Rhinolophus ferrumequinum: one gene and its partner. The protein of the gene in region 2 purifies or fractionates together with the protein of the main gene of each other region. This does not show direct contact. Links are inferred from orthologs where the notes say so. Each region holds a gene or a part of one and is shown on either strand. Other genes may lie near its edges.

The links. Proteins that work in one complex are often made in the same cells at the same time.
Region 1: the proteins of SAP30 (region 2) and BRMS1 purify together in Homo sapiens (affinity purification with mass spectrometry; 3 studies listed by BioGRID and IntAct, with this or other methods). This does not show direct contact. The link is inferred for Rhinolophus ferrumequinum from reciprocal best matches to the Homo sapiens genes SAP30 and BRMS1.

Annotation. Positions count from the first base shown.
Region 1 is NC_046294.1:5,585,681-5,593,670, reverse strand, and holds the start of BRMS1 (breast cancer metastasis-suppressor 1), read right to left. Parts: upstream 3,067-7,990; 5' UTR 2,917-3,066; intron 392-2,916; exon of another isoform or gene 376-391; 5' UTR 369-375; coding exon 230-368; intron 136-229; coding exon 45-135; intron 1-44. Other genes in the region: B4GAT1 (beta-1,4-glucuronyltransferase 1), read right to left, coding at 4,000-4,191, 4,444-5,499. UniProt on the Homo sapiens protein: Transcriptional repressor. Down-regulates transcription activation by NF-kappa-B by promoting the deacetylation of RELA at 'Lys-310'. Promotes HDAC1 binding to promoter regions.
Region 2 is NC_046301.1:33,241,654-33,249,533, forward strand, and holds the start of SAP30 (histone deacetylase complex subunit SAP30), read right to left. Parts: upstream 3,094-7,880; 5' UTR 2,354-3,093; coding exon 1,679-2,353; intron 54-1,678; coding exon 1-53. UniProt on the Homo sapiens protein: Involved in the functional recruitment of the Sin3-histone deacetylase complex (HDAC) to a specific subset of N-CoR corepressor complexes. Capable of transcription repression by N-CoR.

The DNA of each region.
Region 1 (7,990 bases), on a different chromosome or scaffold from region 2:
CCCCGGTGCCTAAGGACCCATGCCGGTGTCCCTCGCTCGCTCACTTCTCCTTGAGCTCCGAGAACTGCTTCTCTAGGTCCAGCATCTCGTTGAGGCACTCGCTGCGGCGCCGCTCGTAGTCCTCCTCGTCCATCTCTGGGATAAGAGGCCAGTCAGGGCCAGCGGGGGAGTGGGAGGGCACCGGTGTGTGCGCGCGTATGCGTGCGCATTGCGGGTGGGGGGGGCTCACCTGAGCTCTCCTCCTCGGACTCCGTCTGGCTGCCGCTCCGCTCCTCCTCACTCTCTTCTTCCTCCCCATTCATCTCGGCAGCTGAATCACCCTCTGCTTCCATCTCTTCTGTGTCTTTGCTGGGAGGCTGGATCGGCATCTGGACCCTGGAAGGAGTGGAGCCATCACTCACCTCTGCCCACAGCTCCAAGCAGGAAAGTGGTCACTAGGAGTCACACCAAGCCTTGGACAGCGGGGGAAGGAACTGGATTTGCCACACCCCGAGCACACAGTGGGTGCGGAGGGTGCACGTGGCCGTCTGCACAGCTCCCAGAAGCCACGGAAATGCTCGTGCCCTGGGACCCTGGGGATGATCCCAATCCTGGGAATATTGGCCAAGGTGATGATCCATAAGGTGGGAAAGGCCAAGGGTGGGCTCCCCCTGCCTATGCGCCTGGGCCCAGACTTCTGACTGGGCCAGCTCCTTCACCTTGCCGTCTACTGGCCAATTCTCGAATACACCAGGCACTTGCCCCCAGGCCCCTCATGCTATTCCCTCTGCCTATAATGCCCTCCACTTCTCATCCTGAGAACACTCTACAACCTCTTGTCTTCTCTGAGTCCAGTCCCATCTCCTTCTGCTTCCTCTGCGATCTCCTATCAGCGGTGCTCCCCTCTTAGACATGCTCAGGTATGTTCCACCATTCAGGAACAACAGAAACACAAAACCTCACCCGATTCCATTGAACTGCTCCCCGTTTCCACCTCACAGCTACACTTTTCCAGGCCTGTGTACACTTGTTCTTCCTACTGTCACCTCCCGCTTGTTCCCATTTGTTTCTGTATCATCACTCTCAGCCAAAACTAATCCTATAGAATAAACCGACGACCTCCCTGTGCCTGAAGCCAGTATTTTTCAGTGCTTATCACAGCTGACATCTCAGCAACCCTGAACACTGTTAAATATTGCTTCCTTTCTTCACTCATCTCACGTCATTGGAATTCTAATTATGCTAGGTACCATCAGACACAATGGTAGGTGCTGGTCACAGTGGCGAGACAGACATACACGGTCTCTGACCTCAAGTGGTTTACAAGTTCCTGGGAGAAAAAGGCAAAGAAGCAGACCATTAGTGTGGTGTGAGAAGAGTTGAGAGCGGGCTTATGGGAGAGGAATCTAACTGGGGCCTGGAGTTGCTGCAGCTGACTTGCAGAGGAAGATGGGCACACGGATGGGCTGAGCTGGTCAAGGGAGGGAACATTCCAAATAGAGGGAGCAGCATGTGCAAAAACCCCCAAATGAAAGAAGGGGCAAGGTTGGGGGCACATGGGTCTAAGCTTGAGAGACAAGTCTGGGCTGCAGAGATCTGGTCAAGGGCATGTAGCAAGTTCTTCAGGCCCTGAGAGAAGGAGCAACCAGCAAGGCAGAAAGTGTGGAATGAGAAGACATCCATGATGGAACTCCCCGGGTCACCAAAGGGGCAGATGAGACCCCTGCAAAGGAGAAGGAAATTAGCAAGAGGTAGAGGAGGAACAACTCGATTCATGGGGAGAGAGACTTTCATAAGGAAAGAGAGGTGACAGTGCCAAATGCTGCCAAGAGATCTCCTGAGAAGACTCAATAGTCCTCTCAACAGATAACCTGTCTACTGGGGATTCTATTTCATTGTGATGTTTTTGCAACCTCTCTGGGTACTTCTATGTAGTCCTTTACATTGGAATAGAACCCCTCCCTCCAGGAAGCCTTATTTGTTTACATCTCCTCTCTATTTGCCCGTTCTCATGTCTGTGTCCTCAGCTAGTCCCTAAGCCTCACGGGGCAGGGCTGCACATGCGCCTTATTCACCTAGCGCAGTACCGACGCAAGCGATGGCGATGGGGGATTCGCAAATACAAATTAAACAAAACAAACTTTTGTGAGGCAGGCATTGGCTTTTACTTCTTGGTAGCCCCAGGCCCCTTCGGTGGTAGCAAACCCAAAGTGTTCTGTTCACCTTCCTTGACACCAGTTCGAGTTGTGCAAAATAACTGGACTAGAGCATAGTTTAGTCACATTCCTCAATGACTTCACAAATAATATGAACCTAACCTGAAACCTTCGGTTCTCCAAACCAGCCGCATCTTTCCCACTCACAAGCCTCAGTTCCCACAGTTTCCAAATTTTGCAATTCCTCTTCACTGTTAAAGATATTTACTTTCTAAGATGCAACGTAATCGGGACCAGAAAGGGCGGGGGAGAGGGGACGGGAGTCACTCCAGCTGCCTGATTCTACTGAATGAGCTCAATAAAATCACAACCTCCCCTCCTTACCCCAGGCCAAACAGAGAATGGCCATTGCTACTCTGAATGTTATTAAGACTGCAAGGGGTAAGGGATGGAGACGCAAATTTTAAGGCGCTGTACACATGCAGTTTATCTTTTCAGAAAGTGAGCATCTCGAAGGCTGGCCTCCACGGAAGGCAGATTCTTCCCCACCCTCGAAGAGGCCAACCCAGCCCCTCCGCGGCGCGCCCGGAGCCTCCCGCCCGCTCCATCCCCGTATGCGTCCGCGCGGGTAGGAGAATCTCTAGCTCTTCCGCAGGGGGTTTGGGGCCCGCGGCCCTGCACGCTCCCGGCAGGTTAAGTCTCCGCTTCGGCCCTGGAGATGGGGTGGGCTCCGATCCACCCGCCGGAGGCCGAACCAGGCGTCACAGGTGGCGTTACGCACCGCACGGATTGGAGCCTCCGGCCTCACGTCAGAGATTTCCCAACAGGTGTCCGCGGCGACCGGTGCTCACCCCCGCCGTCCGGCTCCCGGAAGCGCGGTGCCGGTCTCTCTTTACTGGGAGGTGGGGCCTATCGGTGCTTCCGTATGCGTCATCAGGGGGCGCCCTTTGGGAAGCTCACACAATTGGACAGCTGGGGACGAGGAATGCTGGGATACCGCGGACCGGTCTCCATAGCAACTAGCCGAAGTTCACACTGGCGCAGTCAGCCCTCCGGAAAAAGACCCTTGTGGTTTTCTTGCTTTGCCGCCGGTGCTCCTCTGTCCGTGGTCACCTCCCCCCACCCTCCCCCGGCGTGAAAGGGTTGAACCCGCGACCCCTCCGCCTGCTCGGTTCAGGAGAGTAACGGAGCCAGCTGTAGGTGTGAACACTCATTTATTTATTTACACATTGTCATTGGTAGGCAAATAACCCAGCCCAGCCTATTGGAGGGTACAGAACCTGCAGACCCTTTCCTTCTCCAGAGGCCCCGAGGGCAGAGGCCTGGGAGAACCAGTAAGTTTAGGCTTCTGTACAAAAGCTAAGAACTAAACTCAACGCCTTTTCTTCTCTGATTTCTTTCCAAAAAGCCCATTTTGTTAAGTACTCAGACTTCTCAGCTCTGTCCCATTCATACTTTTTGCTCTCCTACTGCCTACCCACCCAAGATTGTTAATAATAACAACAATAACAACAATAATACTGTAATAATATTAATACTTCACATTTGTACGAAGCTTACAGAATGTTTTCACATATAGCATCTCATCTGAGCCTCCCAACAGTTCTGAGAGGTAGGTATTCTCACCTCCCTTTTCACAGACGGGGTAATTGAGGCTCAGAGAGGGAACGGGATTTGCTCAAGGCCACACAGCTAGTTAGTGGTAAAGCTAGGACTTGATCCCAGCACCCCATATTCAAGTCCAGTGTTCCAACACCACAGCTACCACTGTAAAGTGGAGTGACATTTCTTACCCCTGTCAGGCCTGGGGGGCGGCCTAAGGAGAGAGGAGGCTGAGACCTCTCAGAGTAGGGTAAGGAAGGGCTCAGCAATGACGGGAGGAGTCGGGATACTTGGCCTTCAACTCCTGTTTGAACTGGCGATAAAGAATCTTATTGTGCTGATTTTCCGCCTCCTTTTGGGGATGGAACTTCAGGGCTTCTTTGAAGCCCTTGTGAACCAGGAAACCTTCATTCAGCACCTCGAAATCAAATCCTGCCACGTGCAGCTCACAGGCCTGTGGGGGTGAGGGGGGAGAGATAGGTCAGCAAAGTGATGACATTCCTAGAGCTGAGACGGACACCCCTAACGCTGACTCCAGCATCCCCACTCCTCTGGAGGCATCCTGGATCTTACACACCCTCCAACCACCTCCTGAACTACGATCCCTCCTGCCTCATTGCCCTCTTCCCACCCAGGGCCACTCATAGCTTCCAGATCCCCACCACCCTTCCTCCCCCATTTCCCCTGCTCTCTCCCTTATGGGTACCTGGCTGATGCGATTGAAGCCGTACTGCCGAAAGCGTTCGTCGAAGGTGGGCACCTTGCCTCCAGCCACGTAGAATGGCTCCCAGGGGTCCTGCCAGGGCACCACGTAGGCAGGCCTCAGCAAGGTCTCTTCTGGCAGGTTGACCCAGCGGGAATAGTTGGTGGTTGCCTGGCAGGGAGTGCACAGCCCATAATAGAAGGGCCGCACCTCCCCCACCTGGTACAGCTGCAGGAGCTCATTCTTGTTTGTGGGCATGCGGCGGGCTCGGCGGATCTCGAAGGCAGGCACCACCAGCGCTGTGCCCGCCCACTGCTTGCTCTGATCCAGCATTTCCCGCAGCCCTCTCCACAGTCCCTCGCTGGGCACCATGTCCACATCGATTACCAGGGCATAGTTGGCCCCCTCACGAGCCAGATTCCTCAGCAGGTTATTGGGATACGATACATTGGTGCCCAGCGCGTAATTGATCCCGGGCTGGGCCACCCTGGCTAGCTTGTCGAAGACCTCCTGGCAGGACCGCAGCAGGGCAAACTCCCCCGGCTCCCGGGGGTCGGGCACGGCGGCCTCATAGCGCGAGGGGCACACAAGGTGCATGGCGACCCTAGCGCGCATATCCGGGCAGTGACTGCTCAGCGCGTAGGTCAGCACCGTGGCCAGCTGCGCCTCTTCTTTGGTGGCGGCGAACACCGATACAGATAGCGGGCCCTCCCAGCGCTCCAACAGGCCCGACAGATGCAGCAGGTTGTCCACGCTGGCGTGCGTGGCCAGGATCACATCATTGGGGTCCATGGTGGTCTTCAGTAGGCCTCTATAGACGCGGTAGTCGCCGCTGGCGTCCAGGACGCCTCCGGAGGCCAGCGCGGTGCGGAGCTGCGCCTTGACCTGGTCCACGGACCTCGGGGAGGGGGGGAAGAACTCGAAGTACTGGTCTTGCTCCTCCTGTCCGTGCATCCCGGACAGCAGCGACAGGTAGAGTAGCTGTAGCATCGCCACCAGCATTAGCGCCGCCAGCAGCAGCTGGTAGAAGGCGCACCGGATGGCGTAGGACATCTGCATGGCTCTCGGGGCTCGGAACACGCAGCAGGGACTACCAGACAGCAGCCTCTGCCAGCCGCTGCAAGCCCGGATTTACCGCAGCCTGCCGAGCTCTGCCGAAGCGAGCCGAGGCGAGCCGAGCCCAGTGCGCAGCCCCGTCCGCCCACGCTGGCCTACCGGCGCTCCAGCTCGCCCCCTGCGCGCCAGGAGGATCTACTGCACTCGCCGCCCGCCGGGCGCGCTTTGCAAAAGCTGGATTCGCCCGCAGCGGCGCCGCCGGGTTCCCAGCCACACACACCCATTCCCTCCCGGTCTGTGCGCGACCCCCTGGACCAAGCGCGTCCTGAAACCACGGCGCGCTCGCCCCGGACTCAGGGAGGGGAAACCGTGGCAGAGCTCGGCTGCAGCTGGGTGAAGGATGACGCGGGTTCCCGGCAGCAGCGGGAGGAAAGGAGCACAAAAGAATGCCCTTTCTTTCCGCGGTCTTTCCTTCCTTTAGGTCCTACAGAAGCTGCACTGAAAAATAGATGTTAAGGACCCAGAAAATATGGAGGAGGTAAGAGATAAGAGAATGTGGAAAGAGCATTTGTACGTGGGACGAGGTGGCCGAGTGGTTAAGGCGATGGACTGCTAATCCATTGTGCTTTGCACGCGTGGGTTCGAATCCCATCCTCGTCGGTCGTGTTTTACACGGGAGATGATTAATAATTCTTAATTTTCCACATCCCTCGGGTCTGGAGTACCAGATTGGGACGCACGATTCGACACAACCCGGATCTCTTTGTTCACCATGCATCTCCCCGCCTGTCAGGCTCTTCATACTCTCGGTACCTGCCCCTTCTGGCCAGGGGGTCAGTGGTGTGCCATTTTCTTTCTCCCTAGAAAAAGGTCCCAGGGTTCGGTGGCAACTAGAAGACCAGAAATGGAATTCTGGCCAATGCCAAATTAGGGGCCAATATATTAAGTAGAGAAGCTGCCCCCCACCCCCACCCCCGTAGCGCCACCCTCCCTGTAGTGGAACTTAAGGGTGGTGGTGGTGGTGGTGGTGGTGGTGTTTGTTCATTTAAATTATTACTCTATCCAGCCCACTGGTTCCCCTCGCCCAACATTTTTCTCAGAGGGGAGATCTTGTATCCACACACCTCCTTCTCCAGCACACACACACAGAACATCTTGAACACCAGCCAACATAAGGCTACATACAATAAGTGTGGAATAATTGATCCATAGACTTTAGAGAGGAGAGGCTGTGGGGAAGGGCAGGTACTTCGACTGCTAAATCAATTACATGTAATAACTGTTCGATCGCTGTGAATCCTTGGAAGGTGGACAGATTGGGGAGGGCCTGGAGTGGCAGGGTAAGGTATTTGTCCACTACTCCACAGGCAGTAGGGAGCCAGGGTTGTTGAGTTGAAGAATGACCAGGAGACCTGTGTTATGCAGCCCCCAGCCACATCACCTACTGAGCACCTGCTAACAGCAGCGGCTGTGTTTGGCACTGGGGATGGGGCCTTGTAGGAGACACAGGTACTGTCCTTTAAGGTTTTTACTGGTGACCTGTGCCAGGAGAGAGGAGAAAGGTATGAGTAGATCTTTTCAGCAGAGGTCTTGTAAACTGGAAACTCAGAAGGCAGATTTGGTACCATTTGGGTTTTCTTTTACTTGTTTAGGGTTTAAAAATAATGATTTAAATCACATTAGTTGTTAACTTTGGTGAATCAGGAGATTTCACATAAAATCCACATTTCCAACTTCTGTTTTAAATTCTGGAAGATCTAGCAATGCCAGGCCTGCATTCCCACAGGGAGACAATTGGCCAGAACATAAGAGTGGCTCTCCCTTTGCAAACAAACAGTCTTCTCTTTGCTGAAGTCTCAACCCTGTCCCTTCCCTGCCTACCCCAGACCTTTGAGCATTTGTGTTTCATCTGCAGTACTTACACAATACTCATTTTCTACCTCTATTGAAGATTTGCTTGGGCATCTGCCCACAACACCCCTCCCTCACCCACTCCAATGCTAGCCACATAGCAGGCATCAATTCATGTTTGTTGATTGAGTAAATCAGAGGCTTCTGAAGTGTCCCCAGGGGACCTGGTCTAAGGGGAGAATGAAAAGCAGTGACTGAGCCTTGGTGAGGTATCAAGGAAACTCACATGGAAGGGGCCAGAGGAAGGCCAAAAGCCTATTACTGTGGGCAGAGAGGCCTGGCGAGGTGAGGGCCTGGCTGTCATGGAATGGGACCTGAGACATTCAAAGACCAGAGTTAAAAACCATTAACAAGGGGTCTGCTTCCTGTACATCTTGCCTGGCCTATGCCTCTCTTCCATCTGGCTGGTCCTGATTTATAGCCTTTTATAATAAACATATAAGTAAAATGTTTCTCTGAGTGCTGTGAGCTGCTCTGGCAAATTAATTGAACCCAAGGAGAGGGTTGCTGGAATCCGGCTTATAGCCAGTCAGTCAGAAGAACAGGTCATAGCCTAGACTTGCGATTGGCCTCTGAATTGGAG
Region 2 (7,880 bases):
CGAACGCTCTGAATTAAGTTTTTATGATAATCACAAATGTAAAGATGCCTTACCTGAAACAGAAAAATTTCACAGACTACCTATGACTACAGTAAAATGTCTACATATTAATAAAATACAGAGGCCACCAGTGAATTATTAAATATAAAAACAATCAAAATAGGCCACTGTTAAGACAAGGGCATGTTTCTTTTGAAAGTCCTGTACCCAGTTAAAACATACCATGTCTAGCAATGTTGTTAAGAGGACTGGGAAGTGGGGTGGGGAGGGGTGGCAGTAAGGAAGGGGAGAGAGGCAGAGAAGGAGAATGAGAAATTCCAACCCTCTGGATTTTGTCATCAAATTGCAGTGAAGGTGAACTATAATAGATGAGTTAGGTCATGCTGTTTTTCTAACAAGAAGGGGAATGATGAGGTTGCCCAGTGTTGCTTTATGATAGTATTTTCTCTATTAAAGAGCATACGTTAGTAGCATGATATATGCTTCCTAGTCTTTCTCTCTAATTCAATACCCAAATTATAACCCAGATGCAAAACTATTCATTTTTACAAATAAGCTATTGATTTCATACCCTACTTATTTAAATTTGAAATTATAAACTTTTCTGAGTATTAAATGAATATATTTATCTGTAATCCGTTAACTCAACCAAAGCAATGTGAAATTACTCAAGTTTAACTGAAAAGTTTCTCATGAACGTGACTGCAGACTGTATAAACAGTCAGAAAGGATCACCAACTTTTCAAAAACTTTATTTACAGTCTTGAGAGCTTGTATAGTAACATTTGAAATACTGGACTTCATATACTAACAGTTACTCCTTAAAAAAACTAAACAATTAAGGACTGAGCTAATAGGCTGTTAACTTCCAAGCTCAGTGCAAGTTAAAAATAAGCAGGACGTATGCGAGTTCTGACATCTTGTTATGCATTTACCACCAGACAGAGCTCTGAAAAGTGGCAATGGTTGTTTCTAAAAGCCTCGTAGACGGTCAAAAGAACAGACAAGCAAAAGGAGGGAAAAAGAAATCCTGATGGCTGCCAAACGGATGGCAAAGCCGCCGAGACTACGTGCTCCCCACGCTCGGAGCAGCTGCCCTCGCTGCTGACACCGCCGCCACAGTTCACAACGCCGGCTCCCTGCAAGGCGCGGGGCGAGCTCAGCCTCCCTCACTCCATACTCGGGATTCTTCCTGACTGCGGTGTCAGGTCCTTGTAGGATTCCACTTTCCCTTGACCAGAGGAACTACTCCCTGGGCCAAACGCCAGCTTGGACAGCAAAACAAAGGCGGCGCCTCCATTCCAGAAAGAGCTGCCCGGCTACAACTAAACTACCCCCGACACTCAGTGCGCCTGTTCCCTTTGTTTCGTTTCCCGATCTCAGCGACGGAGGAAGGGGGAAGACAGTGAGCGGGAGCGACGCCGGCAGCGGGGGGTGGGGAGTTGGGGGGCGGGGAGAGAAACCACAGCGTGCAAGTGTGTCTGTTGCGGGTAGTGGTCGCAGTTGCTGCGACTTTGTTATTTGCTTCCTACCAGAGACCCCACAAGGGGTTTGCACTGCAGCCAGATCGGGGCGGAAGGAACCCCTGAACACCGCGCCCAACAACCCCTGTCTGCACCGCTCCCGGAGCCCCTAGGGGATGGGCAGGGCAGGGCAGGGCCGTCCCGCCGTCACTTACACTCTTATCCAGCTCAATCTTCACCTTCTTCTGGGAGATGCTCTTCTGGATCCTCTTGCTGAAGCTGGCGTTGCCTGCCGCCCGGCCGCACCGCTCACCGTCTTCCCGCAGACAGCACAGTTGCCCGGGGCCCGGCCCAGCCGCTCCTGGGGGCCCAGCCGCCGAGACGGCCCCGGCGCCGGGCACCTCAGCCCCGGCGCCCGCCCCGGCCCCATTCCCGGCCGAAGCGGCGGCAGCTGCGGCGGCAGCAACTACCGCGGCCACTGCGGCGGCCGCATCCCCGCCACGGCTCATCTCTTCAGGCGTGAAACCATTCATGACTCCGCGCTCAGAGGCGCCGGCGCTGACAGAAATCCCCGCTCCGCCTCTCTCTGGAGACGCAGGGGTCTCAGCGAGCTCCCTCAGGCACCTGCACCGGCGGCTACAATTCACTCCGTACACCAAGTCCTCAGGCGGCACAGCCAAACACCAAGTGTCCCCCGCCTGCTGGTGTCTGCTGGTGCCGGGACAGTGGACAGTTCTTGGGGTCGGAAACCAGAGTCGGGCGGCGGCTGGAGCTGGGACCCAGCTCACTGTCACATGGAGACGCTTTAGCAGTTCGACCGCAACCTCTCCTACTCTACCGCCTCTCGACCCGCGCAAGCGCGACGCGCCCTCCCGTCCCGCCCCTTCCATGCTGCCGTAGGGTGCGATGGGAATTGTAGTGCTCTTCCGGAGAGTTAACCTGAGCTCGGAACTGATCTCAGGCCTCGCCGGTTGAAGGAACTACTTATTCTAGTATGCATTGCGCGGCGATGGGACGGTTGTCTTTTTAAAAAAACAAAACAAAAAAAAACCTCGGGGAAAACAGCGGCTTGTATATGGGGGTTGCTACGTTTTCTAGCTTCTCTATCCCGGGAGGTTGGTTAGTCGGGTTGTGTTTAGTACCTGGGATTTCGCAGAGCTGGCATTCTAGACGAAGAGGTTATTCACCTCCAGAAGCGGAGCGCATAGCGCAGAGGGCGGGGTAGGAGGGGAGTGAGGGTTCCGGGAAAAGAAAGTTTCAGAGTCGTTTTCCTATCTGCGATAAAAGTTTGTGGTGTGACCACGCTTTTGTTGGAAACCAAGAACTCAGGTGAGCTGGCGTTCTGCGGGTTTTGGAGGTCCCGCAGTTAACACTGCGGCTGAAGAGCAACTCCATTCACTGACGCACCAAATTGTTAATAAAAGTGCCTGATTCGGGGAAAACGCCCATCCCAATCTCAACATGGACAGGGCAGCCTCACAACTGCCTCAGCTGAAGGTCGTTTGTAAATCTTTGCATGTTCCTTCAAGGAACACGTTTTATTCCTGCGCGCAGTCTGCCTCTTCCTGAGGTGGAGCTAATGACTAGTTGACTATAACAGGGCTTCTTTCGCCTCCACCCCCGACCTTTTCCATTTCTCCTGAAATGAACCAGGAGAAGGGCGGAGTCTCTGTGTGTGTGTGTGTGTGTGTGTGTGTACATGGATGTGTATGTGTGTACATGGTTGTGCGTGAGTGCGGGCGCGTTCTAGTGGAGGGCGGGGTATAGAAGGACGGGAGCGATAATATGAAAGCTGCGCCTTTGCTAGTTACAGCACGTCATTATCAGTAGCTCTGCCCTGTTTAACAATCCCATTGTTTAAACAAAAAAATAGAAAGCAGTAGGTTTTTTTTGAAAGTTTTTTTAGACTTTCTGAGTAAATTGAATGATCGATGATTTTTTTAAAAAATGTAAACATGTCATCTGCCCTGAAATTCAAATCCAACCATTCCATCTGTTCATTCCCATTCTAGGATATGACATAGGAAAACAAAAGAATTAAAATATTCCATAAATTGAGGAGTCAAAAAAATGTTGGATGGTAAATGCTTTGTGGTATCTTTTCAACCTGCACTGTCCAGTAGCGTGTCCCCTATCCATATGTGGCTATTGAGCACTTGAAATGCGGTTATTGTGACTGAAAAATGGAATCTTCATTTAATCTTAATTTAAATTTTAAAAACTTATTGCAGTTACTGGAAGACTTTTAAGTATGTTTGGAACAACGTGGATATTTGAATCTTATTTTTTCAACTCAAACTTTATGAAATCTAAATTCAGCATTGAAATTGAGATAAGCTCTAAGTATAAACTATTAGTGGGGTTTCAAAGACTTAGTACTGAAATTTTTTTTAAAAAAACCCAGAATACTGAATAGCTCATTAATTTTTTGATATATTGGGTTAAATAAAATATAACATTAAAATAAATTTTACCTGTTTTTTTAAAAAAACTACACACAAGGCTGACAAATTAGTATTAGGTAATGCTGGCTTAAAGTATTAAAACAGAATAATACTATCTATTGTTTATGGGTATATTTTTTTAAATGGTAAAAATGAAAACATGGACAGGATGGATACAATCCAACTTCAGGGTTGTGCTTCTCTCTCAGAAGAGAGGCTAGGGGATAGTAGGGAGTTTCAAATAACTTGTATCTGAAAGGTCATCATCTCACTACAACTTTCTTGGTGATAGAGCCCTACTGAACTTCTTTAGATGTTCTAAAATATCAAAGTGCATATTGAAGGGGAGAGCACAGGTAAAGAGCTGCGGGGAATACTGTGATCTTTCCTTAGAGGAAAACCCAAAAAGATTAAAATTAGTGTGGCCAAATACTTCTGTCTCGGTTTTCTGCTGAGTTACTATCTTAAATAATTTACTCCAATTTTGTAATGACTTGTCTTGGGGTTGCTATGCAAAAGGAAAAAATATGCTACTTAAAGTTATGAATCACCAGTTGCATAGAACAGAGTATCTGTTGAACAGTATTATTAGGAGTTTATTTTTTCTGACAAGAAGAAGGCTGAGGGAAAATGGCCCCTGGTATTCCGTAGTTCAGCAATGTCAGGGTTGGCATCTATGGTTTTGCTTTCCCTCATGCTACTCAGAGTAGCATTCTCATGATTGGTTTGAACCAGCAAAAATCTATCAATACCCTATTTATAATCAAGGTATTTTTTAAAGTAAGAAGGAAGGAGAGAATGATCCTTGGGTAAGCAATTAACAGTTATCTACAATGGTCTAGATTTAAGAAATACGATCAAAGAAGGAACAGGACAAGGCCATGCTATTTAAAGTTCTTGAAACAGATAAAAAATTCTTTCAGAAGTTAGCAGAAATGAGTTTTAATGGAAGTTTAAAAGGAATTCCACCTTTGTAAACCTAGAAAACAATATGTTCGGGTATTAATTGACAAATTCACTCAGTAAATATTTGAGCCTATGACATATGCATAGCACTGTGTAAGGTCCTATGAGAACTATAAAACATGATACACATTCCCTGCCTTCAAGAAACTTCTAAACAATTCTTTATATTTTACTTTCCACTTTATAAAACTTTCACAGGCATTATTTCTTTGGAAATCATAACTGTGCAAAGGAAATTTTTATCTGATGAATAAATAGTGGGCCTCTTAGATCCTTGCCCATGTGGCTTTTACCACTTCACTGTTCTCAGGCAGATTTCCAGCTGCCAGTATCTGTATCTCTTTGCTTGAGGGCTTTTTCTCAAGCATGCCCTGGTTAGTCAGGGCAATTTGGAAATGGTTGAGAATTATCAATTTCCATCTCAGTAATTCTTACATGATGTTATAGATACCCCAGCTCTTTTGCCCCTCACCTGGGATAATTTTGAGTCATGTATTTCATACTATTTCCCTGAGTTTTCCTGTAGGATTATGCTTCAGTCATTACTAGTGGTAGCTGGCTTGATAAGGCACCCTTTATTTACTGCCTTCCCTTCTTTGTCTCACTTCCCCACTTCCTACAAGTGTTTCCTGAATCCTCCTGATTAACTACCTGCTCTCAGATCCCTGTCTCAGGATTATAGTGGGCATTTCTACTAGGTTATTTCCCCAATACCTGTCCCTCACTCAGCTAGTGTTGGTTCAGTGGGTGGGCACATGACTCAGGGTAAGCCAGTTGGAATCCTTCCCAGGCAATTTTGCTCAGTCTGAAACAGGGAGAAAAGAGCCCTAGTCCCTCATTTTTAAGAAAAATTTTTCTTCCCCATCATTGTATCTCCAGTAGAACAGTGCCCACCACAAAGTAGGAACTTGCTAAATATTTGTAGAATATTCAATGAATGCAATTCCTATAATTTTTTATGCCATCCCACATTATGATCAGATATTAATTTTAAGATGTATGGAATACTCTTGTTACAGTATATCAGTGTCATAGCATTGTCTGTAGTAAAGAGCACGGACTCAGGAGCCAGAATGCTTGAGATTTAAACTCTGTCACTTCTAGTTAAGACTGTGCTGGTGATTTGTCTGTTGTCTCAGCTCCTCTCTCTCTCTCTCTCTCTCTCTCTCTCTCTCTCAACTCTGTACGAGTATTGCAAGAGTACTGAAATCTTAAAAAAAAATATTTCCCAGACTCACTTGTCAGTTGGTCTCCACTCAGGTTCTGCTGATGGGAGATTAAAATGCAAGAGGATGGAAGGCATTTTTTCTTCTTTGGGCTCCAGCAGCCAGCAGCACGGTGCTTCTCTACTCGGGCTCGGGGGCGGGGGGAGGGGAGGCTTCCGCTGCAGTCTGCTGGCTTCTTGCAAAGCAAGAATAGGAAAGCAGATAGTTCTAACCATGCAACAGTTATGTTCCCAAAGCCTCAGAAACACAGCATTTGTGGGTGTTGAATAACACCGTTTCTTTTGTTCTCCCAATCCTAGGATTGTAGCTCTTCTATGGTTACCTCTGGATAACAATTCCTCCCCCACCCCCTTTTGCTCCTCCAGCCCTTCTGTAAGGATTTCCTCGGTAACAGAGGTAATAACATGGCCTCTGAAATACCCAGTGGTTTTTCTTTTCCTAACTGAATACTGATACTGTGACAGTGGACAAGTAACTTACTCTTTTTGCCTCAGTGACTTCCTCTATAAAATGAAAATTGTGTATCTATTTCATTGGCATTATTAGGATTAATGATTTAATATTTTTAGAGTACTTAGAACAGTGCCTGACACAAAGCAGTTTGTTAAATCAGTGGTACTGCGTTTCATACTCGATTGTTAAATACGTATAGCATTAGTCATACAGTTTATAAAATCTAATGTCCTGCTCTACATACCTATCCCTTTGTGCAATCTGCCCCATGATCCTCCTTTGTCATTACTGCTTATCACTGTCACTTCTTTACCTGTCCTGCTTGTCTTCTCCTTTGCTCATCTCTTCTGTCATAAAACAGCATGTATGTTTTTCATAGTGTCTTCCTTTCACTTGCTTTAGACATAATAGACATGTTGGAGGTCTGTAGGACTAAATGTTTTAATGAAATGATTAATAACTATATTTTAGGACGCTGCAATGGTGAGAGGGGTATGCAGGGATGGAAGCGGCACTGGAAATGGAAGACAAACAGGTTACATTAAAACCTGAAGATGAATCCAGAATCTTCAAAGTGGGATGTTAGGGACCATGTGTAGGAGAAAGGCTTGAGAAATACAGATTCTTTTGGTTTAATACTGTCCACATTAAGACTATATTGTATTTGTATGTAGTTATTTCATTGACTTCTGTTTTGGGATAGTCAAAATAGACTTGTTTTTGATCAGCAAAGAAAGCAGACTCAGATTCTAGGGTTACATTTCTTAGGTTGGTGCAAAAGTAATTGCGGTTTTTGCAATTGTTTTTCAACTTTTAAACCGCAATTACTTTTGCACCAACCTAATACTTCATTACTCCCCCACAAACAAACAAACTAGAATGAGGTAGGCCTACAGGTTACTGAATAGACAGAATTCTGCTGTTTTTACAAGGGTTGAATCACCGTCCACATTCTGATTACATAATTTCTGTTGGAAGTTTTCAACAAAATAACATCACTACTTCAATTTTTACTGTTCTTTAATCTTTCAGCTTGTCCTACAAGGTGTAAATATTTTTTCTTTGTTAATTAGTCCAATCTTCAACTCTGCGTAAGTATATTTTTTAACTTAATAGAATTCTAGACTTTAAATTTAGATGGATTTTTTTTAAGTACATCTGAAAATCTCATATTGTTTGTGAATATATTTTTAAATACACACTACTAAGCATAGTAACAAAAATTATTTAGGGGATAAAGTTGTAAACATGTCACCTTTATATTTATGAGTGTTTATACTAGAATTTGCAGTTTTTAATCACTACCAAACTTAAAACTTTCCTTGGCT